2 linked regions of the Oreochromis niloticus genome follow. The protein of the gene in region 1 interacts with the protein of each later gene in a pairwise test. Links are inferred from orthologs where the notes say so. Each region holds a gene or a part of one and is shown on either strand. Other genes may lie near its edges.

Region 1 (10,368 bases):
AGCAACAGCACGATCGAGTGCATAAATAAGAGATTGAATTGGCAGCTAAACACATAGTAACAAACTGTGGAAGGCAAAGGTGTGTGCATCGATTCAAGGAGATGTTTGATTTCAGTTATGGGTACAGGAGTAATCATATTGCAATTTTAAGTCACATCATCATTCTGACAAGGCAAAAATTATTTGGACACATTTTTTTTCCCACAAATGCATGTCTCTCATAATCTCTCATAATCTGTGGGACAAAGGTTGTGGGATAAATCGTTTCAGACAGATCCTGTATGGGCTTGCCATGCCTCCACACCCTGCTGCAGTGAGGTGAAAGGGCACTCCAGGGCACTGCAACATCATCGCTGGGTGTGTTCAGAGGTGCACCCACACAGGCTGGTATGAGCCTGGTATAAACTTAAACTCTAATGCCTACGTTTGCCAAGTCCAGGCATAATGAGATGTTTTGAAAGGCCCAGAGGAAAAGCCCTTAATCTCACCCACAAAATTAACAACACTTTTATTATTTGTGTACCTTTAAAGTCTGGTAAGTGGGCAAATGAGTTGCCGAGGCAGATAACTGCATCAAAGCCATCTCCTGGTTTCTGAATGTCTTCTGATAAAGTCAGCCAGTTGGCCTCTTCAATCACTGAAGACGAGAAAGAAAAGAGCAGAACATGAGGTATCCAGAGGAAATGTAGATATCCACCACAAACATGCGCGCACTTTCCAACAGTTTAAGACAAATAAAACAACTGAGAGTGCTGCCCACACACAGGGCTTTATTGGGATCAACCCAAGCATGGCAGCCAATGCAAAACAAACACCACACAGTCTTTCTGTTTTATTACTATAAGAAGGTCCGTGACTAAACGTCATACTGATTGCTTAGCTTTTCAACTTTAAGCTTACCCTGCCATCACTTCCACTGATGTTGCTCTGTTGATGAACTTAACTTTATGTTAGGATGCAAATTCTCTGACGAATGCTTCATTTGTGTCACTTCTTCAATTCTTTCACTAAAATATTTTTGGCAACTCATTTTAGGTTATTTTCCATTGATTCATGAGAGATCAATTTACTAGTTAACAATCCCCTAGCAACTCGCCCTGGCCCTTATCTCATGCTTTAACTACCAGTTGGCTCACTGGCTTCAATATCCTTCAGCTGCTTCTTTGGAGAGGATCTCATCCCACGACTGGAGCTGCTCCAGCTCAACTTGTACTGCAGCTAGACTCTGTAGTCCTTGTTCTGCTCTAATATTCCACTTGGGGATCAGAACCTGCAGCTTGTGCTGCTCTGCAGAGGTCACAGAGACAGCAGGGAAGAACAAGGACTGCTGTCTCCAGCTGTGGTCCAAGATGGTGGACTTTGAGCTAATGGTGAGGACGAGAGGCTCACAAAGACTGTCACAAAATGCTTGGCAAATATGATTTGATTACTGACACAAATAGAATCTAAATCTGTGGAACTGACCGATTCAGTAAATATATATTTTTTTAATTTTCATACCCCACTGGTCAAAAGCTGGTTCTTTTCTCCTGTCCCATCTCGCCTTCAGTGCATACTTGAGCATTTTGTCGCTGGCATCCACACTCACCAAATTAAACCCCTCCTCCACCAACATAATGGAGTCAATCCTGGAAAACAAAATCCATGAATACGTTTAAAAACAACAACCGACCTGTGAGGATCATGATTTGGTGCAGTAGGTGTGTTTAGATTTTGAGGGTAATCCCTGCTGTCATCTTCCCCTGAAAAAACAGTTTGATCAAGTCTGAGTGCGAGTGTGTGTTTGCTGCGACCGCACTACATGTGGTTTAGTAGTAGGTTGATAAGCTTATCGTCACACTACAGACAGGAATTGTAACCTTGTCACAGGTAAGGAGAGATGATTTGTATGGTAGCGAGAAGCTACTACTGTTTTGAAAACCTGACAGGAAAACGTGATCGCGGGCCAAACCACAGCCTGAATAGATGCTACTGACTGACTTTCAAAAATGTTTTCTCTGCTATTTATGAGTTAATAATAAACAATACAGACGTGTTTCAGTGCAACAGGGGAGGGATTCAATGGACAATAATGCAGAAATCATTAACATCTACCGGGTAACTGCAAGATAATAGATAACAGCAAAACAAAGCTTATGTAAAAAGAACAGCCAGTTTTCCAGTTTTGGATTAAACAAAGTCTTAGGCTAAAAGCAAATTCACATCTTTTAGTTTTCATCTTGGCATCAAATCTCAAAGGACTCGATGCCTCTACAAGAGGGATCAACACCATTTCCTCTAAAAGATGGCCCTTTTATTTGGTTCAACTGTGAGTCTGGTGACTGTGAAGGCCTCAACTTAACAGATCCAGCATAATCCTTAAGGTATGAGTCAGGGATTCATGGTTTCCCTTTAATTTGTCTGTATGCCTATCCATTCTGCAGTTATACATAAGACTTCCTGCCTCAACCTATGGAATCCTAAATTAAAAAACTCTCACAGGTTCAGGTGAAGGTGATGACGATCCACAGCCTGCAGCTTCTTCTCAGAATTAGAAAGCACCACAAACGCACTCTGGCTGCCAAAAATAGCTATTTGTAACCGTGATCCACGAGGAATATGTTTACTTTGAGGCTGCTGCACTACTGAGGCGCACCACTACTAGGGAATGGGGTCAGAATCAATGTGCTGGGGTGCTCCACACCGTAGGAAGACAACCATGTGGCCTGAGATGTGGAGCTGAGTTATTATGGAGATGACTGCAGTTCTGACATGAACATTATAAGCTCTGTAATGTTGATTAGCAGGTGAAATGAGTGCTAAGTGATGAGCAAAGAAAAAAAAGGTACATTTATGATAAACATCAAACAATAAAATGGTTAGAATGCATCTCCAGTGAAAATTCTCCATGAGAAAAACAACAGCTGAGGTGACGTATATGGTCTGCTTGTCTGTGCTTGGGCAATGGCCTTGCTGCTGTGTGAGAGCAAAGTCAGAGTATCAAGGGAGATAAAAAAGACTGCAGGAAACCAGACAAAACTCCTTTCAGCTACCCAGCACTAGTTCATCACCCACTGACCTACTAAGTGCAAGTTTACGGTTCGCTTGTGTTTAGTTTGCTTTAGAAACAGGAAATTTAAATGGACAACACTTGCTGCTTCAAGCTTGTGTCACAGACATATTACACCTCTGTAACTGAATCACATTTAACCAGCATGTGTAAACCCGCTGTGTCTACACCAGACCAGTGCAGGAGGCAGGACGTGGCTCAGGATCAGGTGCAACTCTGCACTTTCATTCATTATTCTGTGGCTTAATCCGGATTTTGTCCCGAGTTAAAAAGGGTCAGTGAGTTGAAATTCCACAAAAGTCAAACTCACTTGAACGGCTATAAAGTTGGGTACACGTACAAAAAGGCCTATGTGAGCTGAAATCACTTTGTTTTTACCCACATATCTATCAAGTACAGCAAAGAAGCAAACACCATCATCACTATCAGCTACTCCTACACAACTCTGTTCTGAAGCTGCACAATCACTGTGAATCACACAAGAGTCACACCTTCTCACATATTTGAAAAGCAATAATGTAGTCTGAATCGGCACGATTTATGGCGTCATCAGCAGCTGTTCACCTGCTGAATCATTGTGAGCTCAGGTTTTTGTTTGGCATATGCAGTTTAAATCAAAGTTTAACCATTAACAAAAGCGTGCTCGGGATACTTGGATAAAGCCGTATTTAAGATTTTGTTATGGAAATTTCATAACGTTTTGGCTTATGTTTTTTATATTTGATTATATTTATAGATACACACTAAGTCGAACGATTTTTAAGTGGATTTTGATGAAGCAGAGCTGAAGCCCCTGTCAGACGTGCTAATAAGACTGCTAATTTGACCTGACATTACCCTGTTCCGCAGGCTACATCCAGCACACTCCGCACCCCGTGCTGCTTCAGCAGGGACACCACCCAGCTCCTGTACTCCTGCGTCCTGCTCTTCGTGTCTCCGATGTACAGCTGCCACACTTTCGCTGCTTTGCCATCGGCGTATTGATCAGGAAGACCTTCGGCTGCCACACCGAGAGACCGGGTCCTAAACACGCTGTCGACCGACATACTGCTGCCCGTACCTGTACCTCTACCTGAGTGTCTGTTTGAGCGGACAAACAAGTTTGGACTATTTTAACTGGGTGAGGAAACACGCTACCTCTCTGACAGGTATGCTTGCCACATGCTAGCCGAGATGTTATTATTTATATGAACAACCTAAGACAGAAACTTTAACCCAATGACACGCCGTCGAGCACCGCCGCCTACTTTCTGATTGGATAACCTAAGGGGAGCCCGCCCCTTTTCTGTTTAGCATTGGAATACGTCACTCGAGTGAAGCTTTGCTAGGTTGCCAATTTTTCCCCTTGAGCTTACCTTCCAGGATAAGTTCCACACTGTATTCCATCAAAATTAAATTAAATACCTCAACACGTGCATATTAAAGTTAAAATTAAGTTATGTTTGACGTTGGAGGAGAAGTATTTATTTAAGTATAATGTTAAAATAAAGTAGAGCTCACGAAGCCCATTACCTGTAAGGTTTTACTCAGGGAATATAATCCCACCAACAGTGGCACAGAGGACTCGCCCCCTTTAACATTTCATCATCTATCGTTTGATCATGCTGTTTGGACGCATTGCTTGCGAAACATGCATAGTAAGAGGTTTTTGCAAAATTAAAATCCTAATAATTTCATTTTTTAACAATGAAATGCACAGTGCTGCAGTAGTTAAGTGCACAGGGTGTAATGTAGGTGAACAATGTGATTTAAAAAAAAAAAAAAAAAAAAAAAAGATGGAATAAAATCATCTCAGGACTCTCTTAGGCACTTTTCGTGCCCTTCCAAACAAAGTGAACTCCTCCTGCTGTGATTGGCGGATTTAGTTCTGTAGGACCCATATTTACTGGTAGAGGTGAGGTCATGTCAGCTACAACCAGTGCGAGCTAGGTAAGGTTTGCAACTTCCAGTTTTTTCAGAACTGCACTACTACCTTATGGGTTGTTCACGCACACATACACACTTACTACTTTCAAAAATCCAGATCTGACTTCGAACACAGGCATAGTTATGTAATTCAGCCTAAGCAGGAGTTGGCAAGAACGCACAGCACTGCCTAGAGGAAGTCACACATTAATGCACCTTTGGTCTAGTCTGCCAAAAAGACATTCCTTCCTGTGGTTGTTTTGATGATGGTGGTGGAGAACAAAATGACTCACTGCGAAGGACACAGGACATGATTCAGATCATTTTTATCCTCGCTGACACGTCATGACATTTGCATGTGGGCATTGTCATGGTTGATCATAAAGTAAATCACTAAGGCTACGTTCACACTGCAGGTCTTAATGCTCAATTCCGATTTTTTTGATCAAATCGGATTTTTTTTGTCTGCTTGTTCACACTACAAATAAAATGCGACAGCAGATTAAACAATATTGTTTGACTGATGGCCCTTAATATAAAGACTTCGGACTTTACGTTTCCCAATTTTTGCTTTAAGTTATTTTGTTATTTACATAATAATGTAAATAACCTAATAATTATCGTTATTGCTGTTTTAGAGGAGCGGTGCTTCAAAGGATAGCTGCAGATTTCTGTCAGAATCTGCAGATTATACAGTACAAATAAAATGTTCACGTTGTCTTCCCAACAGTTTCACTGACATCTACACTGGATGGCCAGGAAGCGTTCGCGATGTCTTCTCGGGCGCTTCTCCGGCGCTGATAATTGGTGTCTGTCTTGTGTCAGTGACGTAAAAGACGGATTTAATGCGACATGACCGTTCAAACAGCAGTCGCCTTCTAAAACATCAGATATGTATCGGATTCAGTACCACATACGAAAGTGACCCAGATCGGATTTGAAAATATCGGATTTGTGCCGTTCACACTGTCATACCATGATCGGATATGGGTCGCATAGGGTAAAAAAAAAAAAAAAAAAAAAAAAAAAAAAAAAAAATCGGATTTGATGCGCTTTCGCCTGCAGTGTGTACGTATCCTTAGGCTTAATATTAAGGGCCATCAGTCAAACAATAATGTTTGCTCTGGGTCTAAACAGAGCGCGTTGTGTGTGACATCTTCTTTTGCTCATGCGGGCCGCTTTGAGCGTTCACACTAGAGCGCGTTTGCTGTCGCATTTTATTTGTAGTGTGAACAAGCAGACAAAAAAATCGGATTTGATCAAAAAATCGGAATTGCAGTGTGAACGTAGCCTAAGAGCAACCTTGTAGCATTTTGTATAATCTTTGCTTCTAAAAGAATAAATGGACCTAAATCATGGCCAGAAATTGCACCCCAAAGCTTAACAGAATGAGCAAACAGTGGTTTAGTTTTTGCTTTAATTTGTCACCTGCCCGTATACACAGTCACTGAAAAGATAAGTGATGATCAAAGTTCCAGTCTGAGTACACACAGGTGTGTGTGTGTGTGTGTGTGTGTGTGTGAGAGATATATGAGAGAGAGACTCTAATACAGTTTGTTGAATGTATGCGTTAAATTAATCATTGTATCCCTTCTGAAGTATTGCGTCAATGCTCTTGTTACAACTTGAAACAGGAAGTGAGTGCTGTGAAGTTCAGAGATTAGTCAGATGGCGGAACAGATGAAAGGGAAAACGGTTACATTTCAACGTGTTGTTTTCAGTAGGACCGTGATTGACACCACTTCCAGCGCAGAGCCAAACTTTGCTGGAAATCACCTCCTATCAATCAAATCAAATTTAAGATTGACACAGTTACTGCCAGTTTGTCGGCTGCACATCATGTGAATCTTTTATTCCACCACATCCCAAAGGTGCTCTGTTTGACTGAGATCTGGTGAATGTGGATGCCATTTGAGTACAGCGAACACAAGTCATGTTCGAGAAACTAGTGAGATGATTAAAAGTTTTTGGTATGTGGTGTTATCCTACTGGAAGGAGCCATCAGAAGTGGGGTACACTGTGCTCATAAAGAGATGGACATGGTCAACAGTATTCAGGCAAATGTGCAAACAAATGTTGCAGCAGAAACAGAGTCCGGAGACCGGCTGATGGGTTGTTGAAGCGACCTGGAAATTTCCCTTAGAGCTCTGACATCAACAAAGGATTTTTAGCCAGTAAACTGCCGCTCGCTGGATATTTTCATTTTTTCACATATATATCATCTGTAAACTCTGGATATGGTTGTGTTCTAAAATCCCAGCAGATCAGCAGTTTCTGAAATACTCACACCAGCTCGTCTGGCACCAACAACCGTGTCACTTTCAGAGCCACGTAAACAACCTTCCTTCTCTTTACTGATGCTCAGTTTGAACTTCAGCAGGTTGTCTTGACCATGTATACATGCCTAGGTGCAATGAGTTGCTCAATTCTGATTGACTGATCAGACATTGTTAGTGACGAGTAGCTCAACAAGTGTACTTAAAGTGGCCAGTGAGCGCGAACAGATGAAAAAAATGGGACAAATAATTTTTTGCTAAATAAAATTGAAAGAAAAACACAAGTCCGATAATTTATTGATCAATACACCTACAACGATGTCCATGTCTCTTTATTTATACAGCACGTTTCATTACATGTTGCTTAAGAAAAATACATTTTAAAAAATGTAGGTGTACAGTGTCTCAAGGCCATAACAACAAAAATAATAATTAATATTAGAGATATTTTATATTTTAAAACAGTTGTTACTAATGCTATGTGATTAGAAGATACAGCTTAAGTAATTCTGTTTCTGTTGGAACAAACTGTAATTTCCCAAATTACAATTTGACTCAGTTCTGACTGCCTTCCCATACTTTTTTCAGCACTTTGTTCTTGAGGACAGTAGATGGTGCTATAAGAGCAAATATGAATGAACTCACACTTGAACATGACACATAACTGACCATAAAATTACCTCAAAAAAAGACCTGAAATAAAAGTATACACATGTCATATCTTTAAAACTCATTTGCAAGGAGTTAAATGTACAAATATGAATGATTATAGAAAAAGGTCAGCATGAACATATTTATACATATGCTGTACGTGAAGTACACAAGTATGTTAAGGAGTGTAAAAATTGTTTGATTACTTTTTGAATACTCTGTACCATTTTATATACTGCTATATTATATGTTCAAGCATTAATCAGTTCATAAAGATGTTTCGAAAACTGCTTTTGGAAGAATACAAAACTGATAAAGTTGATGACTGATAGTGTGTATGTATAACTATGCCAAATTGTATCTGAATTATAGCTATCAGTGTAGCTATCTTTATACTTGTCCTTCATTCCTTATTGTGTGGGATAAGTGATGAGGGGAAGTTGGGGTAACACTGAATATGGTGATTCAGTAGAGTGAGCGTGGGGTAGGGATGAATAAGTATGTAACATACTTCTTCCTACTCCATTTCAGACTTAACGGTTGTCATTTCGTGTAATTTAGAATCTGTTCATTTTATTTTAACTTTTGTTTTTGTCTGAGAACGTGTGTGTATGTACATATATATTCGTATTTGTACATGTAAATGCAAGTGTGTGTGTGTGTGTGTATTGGTTTGTTGTATATATCTGAAATAAAGATGATGATGATGATGATGATGATGTAGTAGTAGTAGTAGTAACAAGAACAAGAGCACATTGGTTTTCCTTCATATAAGCTCGGAAATTATGTAATAAAATAAAGGTGTAAACCTCCTAAAATGATAGCTGTTAAAATGTTTCATATATCCAAATGTAGTTCTCACTTTTCTTGTTTTCCAAAAGGAAAAATGAGACGTGAAACATTTGGAATTCTTTACGTTCATCTATACATCTGGCCAGTTGTTCATCTAACCTACAATCCTTTCTGACTAAAAACACACAAATTAAAGCATGATTAATGACTATAGGCTCAGCCTGCTGGTCAGGCTTCTGAGAAAGCAAATATGACTGGAGCTAATAGTTGGAGGCCAGTCGGTAATTGGAGGTGTAGGTTAGAGCTACTTTGACTGGTTAAGCCATTTAAACATTTAGCGTCTTCTGCTCCCAGTGATGTGGACCACACCTTTAGGTTCATGAGTGTACCATTAAATAACTAGGAGACAACACCCAAGAATACCCAAGTCTACGATAAACAACAAAGAGCCAGAGGACTCTGTCATTTTGGGGTAATGATTAAGTCACAACATTGTTGCAATTAGAATTTTCTCTTTGCCTGTAACGCTTAACTACATAAAACCTGATGACAAAAATAGATCCAATGACAACAACGACCACAATCAAAATCCACAGAAAGTGCACCCCAGGAACAGAAGAAGCCTTCAGTGTATTGTTGCTGATGGGTGGTTTGACAAACGCTACAACGGGAGGAGTTGTGACTGGACCTTCATTAGGGTCCTCACAAAAGTTACCGTCAACCTTTAGAAAGCCTTCAGGACATATGTCATAGCCAGCCTCTTGTATACTAGGGCATCTTTTTTGTGCACAGTGTGGTTTGCACTGCCTGGGGTCTTTGTTGTCTGGTATATATTGTTCGAAACATGAGCATGTGTAACCCCCCTTAAAATCCTCACAGTTCTGCTCACATGGTCCAGATGAACAGCCTTTATAGCTTTGAAAAAAGGTTGGATGCGATACTTCTTGTCCACGGCATACATCTTGGAGCTCAACTTTGCACATAAACCCATCAGCTTTATCCGAGCACGGTCTCTCTGTCCATTTTTCATCACTTGAAAGTGATACGCAGTGTGGAGAGCAGAGTTGAATGTGGTTATTCCAAGATGGAAGAAAGGTGATGCCCGGTCTGCCAGATATCCACTTATAGCCTCTCAGTGGAGCTGAGAGGTTGCTGCAAGCACCAGCTGGTAAATGCAGCCCGATCCAGTAGTTCCCAAACAATTCCTGGCTCAGAATGTCAAACAACCTCTTATCATTCTTAGAGCACAACTGCAGAAGTTCTCCTTTCCTGTCATGGCAGGCCTCTTCAGCTGTTTTAAAATCCACTTCACCTTGGTTTAGAGTTATGCAGTCAGGTTTGCCATAGTGACTGCAAACGGCCCTGCAGTGGCCAGGCTGCTTTATATCCAATCCTTTTCCAAGAGTCAGTAAAACCATCAGAATAGTCATACTCATCCTAAGCACAGGCACTCTCGTCTGCAAGCAGGCCATGCTGTCTCATAGTGGAGTACAAAAGGTTGCCTGTGTTAAATGATGGGGATTTTCCAGTCTTTGTGCCACTGCGGAAACAGGGTCTCTCAGGAAGGAAACGAGATAAACACATTTTTTTTTTCTTTAAGCAGGACCAACAGCAACAAAATGAAGAACAATGTATAGATATACTAAATATATGCAATGGACTCTTATATAAACTGCCAAACAAATACAAGTACTT
Region 2 (9,599 bases), on another chromosome or scaffold:
CCCATGTTTCACCTCTCCACCAGCTTTAATGAACACCTGCTGATCAGTAACATCGAATCAACATCCTCACAGCAGCCATGTTATTGGTCAGATAATGCCATTAAAAATGCTCCAAAAGGCTCCGACAGCAACCGTCTGGAGGTCCAGTGCAGGGACTCGAGTTAGCTTAGGTGAACTCTAGCAGCCAGCTAGCAGCTACAGCCGCCTGTGTCACCATCCACCTGTTAGTCAGAGAGGCCACGCCCCTAATAATACAAACTTTAATCCAGCTGCGTTATTAAAAGACTCCCGGAACGTACAAGTGTTATGAAGCAGAAATGATCCACAGAGACCGAACAGTTTGTGTATCAGGCTGGAAACAGGTTCTCTTCGCTGTAACGTCTGTGAGGTGGACTCACTGCTGCCTCTGCTGGACGTCAGAGGAACCGCAGGTTTGGGTTTAAAATCCAGAGCTTTGTCAGTCCATTATAGTCGGTGTCAGCTGACTTGCTCTTTGACTCCTTGTTACATCCACCAGAGGAACTTCACAATCTCAGGTTAGGCGAAGCATGAAAGAGCCTACTAACAGGAAGCTGGATCAAAACATCAGCTTATTTGTCCCACAGATGATGCTTATCGATGAAGAATCACACATTTGCATTCCCAGTATCAGACTGAGAACTCAGGGTTCCTCAGTGTCAGGACTTTGCTGGGACTTTGACCAAATTAAATATTTTGGAGACTAGAGACAATTTGACCAGCTGGTGTTCCGATCCATAATCCTCCACCAGTGTGCTGAAAGCCTGTGGCGATGGAGGACTCATACGAGGGTAAAGGCTCAAAAACTAGGCTCTCACTGACGAGCCCCTTTCCTAGATGGGGCAATGAGACTGGGTCCCACCAATGACACCATAACACGGGGAAGTCGTCCCCAACGAGGCAGCTCATGCATACTAATGGTGTAGCTTCATGGAAGGACCACCATGTGGATGTGTGCTTGTCAAGACATTTTCCGTGTCTGCGAATCTGCTAGTGATGTAAATTTCTTCATGAGATGGTGAGCTGATGATTGGTGTGGATGTCTTCACGCCTGCCTGACCAATCTGCAGAGACCAACTATGCGTACGCCCCTGGTGACGCACTTCAGAGAACTATAACAGGAATGACTACTGAGTCATCGTCTCTCCAACGCTTACAAGAGACAAACAATGACAAAGTGTGCGGCTTAAAATATGTCAGGACATTCTTCAGGTGTGCGATCAGGTCGAGATGCAGCAATATGTGCGTCAGACCCAGAGACGCAGAGACGTCCAAGAAAAGGGTGAAAAAACATCCCTGGAGTTTTCAGTTTGGTAATATTTTGATCAGTCGACTCAAACCTGTGATGAGTCCCACACATATGAAGCCTAAACAACTAAATTCTCCCCCAAAATATCTTAAAACTGACTTTTGTGGCACAACAACAGTAGCATTCTGAAAGTTTACTCCAGGTTCCAGCTTTGCTGCTGTTGCCACTGCTGCTTGCTGTTTTGTGTGAAATGCATTCTGGGATACTTGGCTTTCCCAAATCACCACCCTTGATGCCCTGAGGCTGTTTCACAAGTACGAGCACCAATGCAGACAGTGACGTGTGTGAAGGCTCCTCGTGGCGGTACACGGTGAGGACCGGTCAGAGGCTTTAGTGTTGCACTCAGGACACACGTGTTTCTTATTTTGTTCCTGTGTAGGGTTTATACACAGTTCTCCAAACGTACTTGGACGGTTGATGAAGGAGCACTTTGATCAGCAAGCGAGGCCTGTTCCCTCGTTATTCCACGAGAATTTAAGCAGGTTAAGTGTTGAACTTGTTTGCTCTTAAATACTAAAGCTGAAGGCAGAGACCCACAAACAGCAAGCAGCTGAATGAGGAAGTGTGGCATGTGGCAGTGTCCTGCTGTTGACTGCAAAACACTTTCACCCAATGAAAATATCATAAAAGTTGGAAACTTTGTTAGTCTGTGCGCCTGAAAATGGGGCTGTGTTTAAAATCCACCGTGGTGCACAGACTGGCTCCTGTACCCATTTGGACTGAATTTAAATGTGAAGCATGGTGCTTCACGCTTGCAGGAACCAACTGAACCTCCCTGAGTTTCCACAGACCAGTGCAAACGTTCAGCGGCTTCAGTTCTTGTTGCAGAAAGCAGATGAGTCTTGATTTGTGGTTAAATAGTGAAAAAATGACCTCCTGCATCTTCTCTAATCACATTTCCTTGACCTCAGTGGAAGGGAAGTAAAGATGTGAAGGACTGTTTACGAGGACTTGAAGAGGAGGACTGCGGCACTCTGAGAATCAGCTGTGGCTTGCAGGCTCTGCTGCGGTGAAACTACAAAGTCCTGCGGATGGACTACAAAAAGCTCCTCTCAGATACCTGCTGTGCTCTCATTGGTTGCTGTGTACAGACGGTGTGCACACAGTAACACGATGAGAGCTCACCTGTGGTCGCTCAAAGATGGCCGTCATCGGGTGGAAAACTCAGCAGTAAGTCACATGATGGCCTGTTTGTTTTCCTTTAAGGTCTGATGGGTCGTTGCTGTGAATTGTGGGATGCCATCATCTCCTTTCCTTTCATAAAGGAAACTCTGATGCATCCTTTACTAAAGGAGGTAATAAAGGAAGCTTCAGCTGCTTCCAAGCTGCTCACAGTCTGAGGTTAAAGCTGCGGCGACCCTCGTAGCATAGACAGCAGCAGAAAGTCGGCCCAAAGCCTCCGTTTCCTGCTTTATGTGAGCAGCAGGAAGAAATCTTCCAGCTGAGTGCGCTCCACCCCGCAGACCTCAGCAGTGTCGCAGAAACACTTCACCAGATGAAATAGACGAACCGAGCACGCTGCAGGTGCAGTGATTTCCCCCACTGCTCCACACTGCTTCTGCAAAACTGGTGCTAATGTAGCACAGACTCCTCATTCTGCCCCCTACTGGCAGGTGAATTAAACACATATACACAAGCACAGCGCCGGGAAAATACCCTGCACGCGTGCCACATTCCTCGCAGCAAAGCTGTCCAGTTAAAGTTGAGTGCTGGCTATAAAACCCATCAGGATGAAATATAACCGCGTGTGATGAAAACGTTAATCATTTAATGGCGATGACGAGCAGACGCACCTGAAAGTGGCGTGCAGGTTTATCACTGCTGCATGTCACGATCACGGTGTGACATAACCACAGTGAAGCTTTCACACAGGCTTTCATAACAGACTGAAAACAACCCGTTACCCTATCCACTCTAAAATATTAGCTCATAGCCAGAATGTCTTCAGAACTTCAAACCAGGTGAGTAGTACTGTAATACACCTGAGCCTGTTAGCTACCGTGATGCTGTTGAAACCAGGCAAGTACCAACAGCAGGTTTCTCCTCAGACCGAGGGTGGAGGTCGGGAGTCCTGGATGAGGTTCTTTAGCTCATCTTACAGCTGGTGGGGTATGACATCATCATTCAGGTTCTGATGTTGGTTCTGGTACTTTTTGCCCCCTTCATGATCGATGCCAGCGTCCCACAGGGATGGAGTCCTGGTCTTTTATCCATCAGCTGTGTAAGCGCCGCATGATTGCCTCGGGTCTCCTTGTGGACTTGCTGGCTAAGCTTAGCTTTGGGGTGTTTTTGGAACTGTTAGGGTCTTGTGACGTGATGACACATTTCTTTAGCTGGTCTGAGACGGCAGCACTCTTTCGTCTTATGTGTCTTATTTGTCTTTTTTCATGGATGTGGACAGTGTGCATCCTGTAACTCATCAGTGCTACTCACCCTGCAGGTGTGTCCTCAGTGACAGAGCTGCCATGATGCACTGGCAGCACCACCTCTTTAATCTACAGCACTGTGCAAAGGTTTTAGGGAGGTGAAGAAAAATGCTGTAAACAAAATAAAAGTTTTCATTTATCATTTATTCTCATCCATCAACAAAATGCAGTGAATAAACAAAAGAGAAATCAGTATTTGGTGTGAGCACCCTTTGCCTTCTTCTAGGTCCACTTGCACACAGTTTTTGAAGGAACTCGGCTGGTAGGTTGTTCCAAACGTCTCAGAGAACTAAGCAAAGATCTTCTGTGGATGTCAGCTTCCTCACATCCTTCTGTCTCTTCTTGTAATCCCAGACACACTCCATGATGTTGAGATCAGGGCTCTGTGGGAGCCGTACCATCACTTCCAGTACTTGTTGTTCTTCTTCATGCTGAAGATAGTTCTTAATGACTTTGGCTTTGTGTTTGGGGTCGTTGACCCCAAAGGCAGAATACATCTGGGGCCAATAAACAATCATTTATATTTCTGAAACCATTCTTTGTTTACAGCATTTTTTCACACCTGCCTAAAACCTTTGCACTGTACTGTATTTCAGGCCAAACTGAGCACGCTCAGATGCAACAGGGACTTTTTGGCTTATTGATGAGGAGCGGCTTTGGTTCCTGCACATCTTTAGTCAGTTGCTGGTATAACATAGCTGCGTGGTTTTTTGCATATATCTCTTAATATTTGTCTGAGAGAGTCTGGGCTGAGATCAGGTGTCTTCTTCAAACAGCTGCTTGCGTATATCTGCCTGCACTTCAGAGCAGTCCTCCTCTAAACCACCTTAAAGATCTGCTTAGACTTCTGCACCCGCCATCAGAGCCCGGATTGGCTGAGACGTTAAAGGGTCACCGTCCTGTGACATGAAGTCCTTTCTGAGTACGGAGGACGTAGCGACACAGCGGCTGCTGATGGACGCTCAGCCTCTGCCTCTCTGACTGTTGGTCATCTGACACAGGCGCGCACACGCACACACACACACACACACACACGTCCTTTTCTCTCAGTTTGTGACTCGCAGTAAAACGAAGCTCTAATAAAGGAGACGTGCAGAAACGTGTTGCCGTGTTCATTCTGATGGTGAATGTGGCGGCGGAGCGTTTCTGCGCTGCGGTTGCCGTCGTCTTGTGTCTGAGTGGGTTTCTGTGTTTTCGGGCTCAATGATCTGAATGAGTCGCGTCGGGAGAATATTAACGAGCTCTGCTGATCAGTCAGACATACAGAGCAGCTCTGGAGACTCTCTGAGGAGTTTTTCACAGGAAGCAGCGTCAGTCCCAGAATCTGTTTGAGTGTTTGTGTGGAGCATAAGTGGACAGGACTGAGCCACGTCACGCTCTCAGGTTTGTTTGTGACTCGTTTAATATTCACATACGACCGCTGTACACATCAGGAGGGAGGAAATGAAAAGGTGCTGTTCCACGCAGAGCTCTGCTGTACCTGCTCTGACACGTTCTGTTCGGGGATTTTGGTCCACATGATTATGACATCAATGTGACATCAGCACACAGCTGCTGCAGATTTTCCGTCTGCATCCGTGATGAGAATCTCCCGTCCCTGCTCTGAGTGCATCGAACGGATCGTTCAGGAAGCCTGTGTGAGGAGATCTGAGCGCTGAGACGGTCACACCTGCAGCAGCTGAACGCAGATGCAAATCGACGCTCATCAGACCAGGACGTGTTTTTCCACCTTCTGTGGTCCAGCTTTGTGAGTCTGTGTGAACGTTAGCCTGAGTTTCCTGTGCTGAGCTGAGCAGCAGCGGTGTGGTCTTCTGCTGCTGCTGCTGTGGCCTCAGAGATGCTCTTCTGCATCCTGTGGTTGTTTGAGTGACCACTGCGTTCCTTCAGCTTGACTCTTACCGGATATTTCCTCTTTTACTTTTGGTTGGTGTATTTTCGTGGTATTAGTACTTTAACTGCAGTGAGGACCGGCTTTAAAAAACAAACAACGGGCTGGATTTCAGCATCGTCTTTATTTTATATCTGCTCATTTAGTTTTATATAAAGCATTTAGATTTCGCTCAATGTTAGAAGGTGCTGTAGCAATAAAGCTGTCAGCAGTAAGTGTGATCAGCAGCTCATTGATTAATGCTGCAGTCAGGCTATGCCAGGCCCTAAAAGTAATTACGGGGATTTTAAAGTCAAAGCTAAAGTTGGCAGGAGGACCTGAGGAGTCAGCTGATTCACGGAGCCTCCAGGAGCTTTTCCCAGTTTTTAACACATGGAACAAACAATAAATCACCTGAGAAAGTAACGGGACTCTGAGAGCTGCAGGTTCCAGCCTGCTTTTCACAGAGTTTCATGTTTAATAGAAAATGTAATAAAGGGTTTCTGTTTGAACTGGCTGCTCGTGTAAACGCTGCTCCTCCGTGGTGTCTGTGGGAAAGCTCCAGATGGTCTGGGTTGATTTTGACTAAATGAGACCAAAGCAGCTTTAAAATGTTACCGCACTGCTGGTTCCTCTTCGGTTCTTGGTGAAACGTCTTCGGTGACTGATTTCCACAATCGTTCAGGTGTGTGAGTCAGGACACTGAAAATGTCTCTTTATTTCCCCACAGTGGGTTAAATTTTCACACTGTGCTCACAACTGTTTGAAGCTCCAGATGTTTGTAATGGCTGCCAGATGTTTCTGTTGGATTCCCGTGTTTCCGGTGCCATGAGGTAAGCACTGATAAACGCGGGACGTCCCTCCCCTCTGCAGCCCAGAGACATCTGTGATCTCCGGATATAATCTGAAACCGGCTCAGGCTCAGAGGAGGCGACGGACTTTCTGGATCTTGTTCCTGTGCGTGGCCGAGGCTGATCTTCACGTGTTCATGCTGGTGGTTTTCATTCATGTTCCTGAGCCCAGCAGAACCAGGTCCGACTTTAATCCTGAGCCGGTCGAGGGCCAGAACGAAGGTGCAGCTCGGTGGTCACACTCCAGTTAGAGAAACCCGGCGGTCGTACATCTGAGGAGGCGAGAAATGCCGGTTTGAGTCTTTGCTGCAGTTTGGGTATCGAGGGAGTCTTCAATCATCGGCCGTCTGCTGCTGCAGAGCTGACACAACAATCAGGCATCGATCGGGCAGTTAGCGTTCCCCCTGTGTCAGAGCGGCCGATCGATCAGCGGCGCTGCTGCTTCACCTGCACAAACCTCGAGCGAACCAAGAAGTGTGAGAAAATCTCAAAGGTACCAAACTTATTCCTGATACAGAAAAATAGCAAATGAATCTGTGAAAGTTCTTCCAACAGACGGTTGCATTGAAGGATCCATGTTTTTTATTGTGACAGAAATGTCTCTGTACGCGTCAATATTCATCAATATTCAGGATTATTGATTAAAAACAAACATCAGTTTGAGTGATAACAACAATAAAACCAACAACAAGGAGCAATGATGATGCATCAGAGCGTTTGGGGTGTGCAGTCACGCACATCACTCTCTTACACAGGAAGTGTGTTTATTCAGGTGTGAACGAGCCTCAGAGGGACTGGCGTCACTTTGGGTGAACCTGAGCAGTGGCGTGAAAACAGGAAAGAGCAGGAAGACGTCAGAACCCACATCAGGTGTTTTGCCACACGTGACGTCTTTGATTTCAGCTTGTTGTTCGGTTCAGTGGTGGTTCTAAACAGATGTACCTGTCCAGGTGCTTCACTGTGTGGCAGCAGCTTTGGACCCTGAGAGCGAAAAGAGGAAAAATGTAATAATATTTGCTCTGACTTCTCGGTTGTCTCTGAGCTGTCTTGGCGTCTTTGATGTGATAAAGTCGTTACTCGTGTTCAGATGAAATGTGAGCCCCTCTCGTGCTGTAACCCTGCACTGATTCACGTCTGTGCGATGAAGCTCTAACCGCATCCTCGGCTCTGAAGATTCAGCTCTGCTCTCTTTCAATGAATCTTTAATCGTGTTTACACTCTCTCAGACGCTCACTTCCTGTTACCGAAGCTTTCAGCATCTTTTCTCTCATTTCACACAAACACCAGCATTTATATGTCCAGTGTTTAGCACAGCGGCTTGTGAGGATGTCGTGTTTTGTCCCTGCGGCCGTCTGAAGCCGACACGTTCGCTCAGCTGTGATTAAAAATCAAGAAGAGATCAAGTTTAAGCAACCTAGGTTGATAAACGTCTCTGCTGTCGCCGTCACGGAGCCGGTGTTTTACCTCCAGCCGCTCAGCCTGATTTGTGATTTCAGATGGCAGAGCTGCTCCGTGTTAAAGTTTAATTGGCCTAATTGCAGAGAGTGTGGTGAGCAGGTGATCGTGCAGTGGGCAGCTCCCAGGAGTCCCTCCGGTTTCCGGCTAAAAACGGCGTCCCGATGCTGCTGATTGATGAAGAGCCACTCAGGAGGAAGCTGAAAGCTAATGGAGCCACAGCAGCTAATTTATGACAACATTAACGTGGGGGGAGGAGAGGGGGGTCATGCTGTCGGGCAGCATTAGACAGAGATGCAGAGAGGAAGCTGCTGACGGCACACCCTCTGTAATATGTGACTGTGCAGAGTCCCAGCAAACATCAGACACCATCCGGTGAGCGCTCCGACACTCACAGCCCGGCTGAAGCCAGACTTACTCTCTCAACATGTTCAGATTTTCTTCTTGCTTCGCTCTCAGCGCAAAAATCTGCACAGCTGTGGACACGATGAGAGCTCTGCTGGTCACAGCCTGGTGCTCATCATCGCTCTGCTCTGACACGATACACAAAACAGGCGCAAAGTAGCTTCTAATAATGAATATGATGATGCATGCTCAGTCATCCAGGTAAGGAAATCCCAAAAGGTTGATTCTGTTCATCTGGATGTTTTCAGGTTTCCAACCTTATAAACAGTACGTTTGGACTGCCACTGTTCATTCAGTGGGTAGTGTCACTGTGACTGAGGTTTGAGTCTCTGCTGAAAATGCTGCGTCCACATGAACAGAATCAACATTTTGGGGTTCTCATAATGAAGATGATGTTTGTGATGTTTGGGTCCTGTGTGGAGACCGGGGCCTTCCCGAGGCTCTGCCGGGTGCAGGCAGGACGCCTCCTGCCACCTTCAGTTTCACTCAGTCAGAAAAAGAAAAGAGATGGAAACCGGAGTCCAGCAACGTGTCAGACAGTGTTGGGAAGGTTACTTTTAAAATGTCTACATTCTTTAGGGCTAAGCCTGTAACACTCTGCCTATTGATTTCATATTAAATTATTTTTTGAATAATAATTTTCAAAAATATTTCGTCACGTTCTTATGCGGCTGCAGTAGAGGTGACATGGGCCGTGAGAGTGAGACACAGGCATTAGAGCCTCTTAATGCGTGTTTTGTTTGGGTTTCCACCGGCGTGGAATTACCAAAAATAGAGAGGGGACAGCGTAACATATGACACAGGAAGTGACCGCTGTGTAATCCCTTTATTTCAACAAAGTAACTGTATTCTGGATAGCACCTTTTTAAACGGTAACGTAATGCCGGCACATGTATTCTGTTACTCCCCAACACTGGCCTTCGGAGGACCAGCAGCAGTGAACGCAGCTCAGGACTGGAGCACATCTGCGGGGTTAGGAGCAACACGAGCTTCACGAAGCCCAAAATACATCAACACCAACATCTGGCAGCACACCTGGACTCGCTCAGCTTGGGTAGTCTGAGTTTTCTGGGCAGTTTTAATACTTCCAGGAGCATTTTACAGGCAGGGGTCATGTGAGAAATCACTTCTGCTGCTAAAACAGAAGAAATTCAAACAATTTAAACGTTATTCCTGAAGTGTGGCGCGCTCTGTTTCACTGTTTCCAGACTTTTCTTGGACAGTTTTATTTAAAAGTATGATAAACACAAACAGTGTGACCTGTGCTC

Evidence for each region.
Region 2: the proteins of gnmt (region 1) and arrb1 interact in binary tests that used the Homo sapiens proteins (3 or more experiments, as listed by UniProt). The link is inferred for Oreochromis niloticus from reciprocal best matches to the Homo sapiens genes GNMT and ARRB1.

The regions. Positions count from the first base shown.
Region 1 is NC_031983.2:26,631,130-26,641,497, reverse strand, and holds the start of gnmt (glycine N-methyltransferase), read right to left. Parts: upstream 4,480-10,368; 5' UTR 4,096-4,479; coding exon 3,887-4,095; intron 1,629-3,886; coding exon 1,501-1,628; intron 638-1,500; coding exon 524-637; intron 1-523. UniProt on the Homo sapiens protein: Catalyzes the methylation of glycine by using S-adenosylmethionine (AdoMet) to form N-methylglycine (sarcosine) with the concomitant production of S-adenosylhomocysteine (AdoHcy), a reaction regulated by the binding of 5-methyltetrahydrofolate.
Region 2 is NC_031979.2:38,768,809-38,778,407, forward strand, and holds the start of arrb1 (beta-arrestin-1), read left to right. Parts: upstream 1-5,181; 5' UTR 5,182-5,441; coding exon 5,442-5,500; intron 5,501-9,599. UniProt on the Homo sapiens protein: Functions in regulating agonist-mediated G-protein coupled receptor (GPCR) signaling by mediating both receptor desensitization and resensitization processes.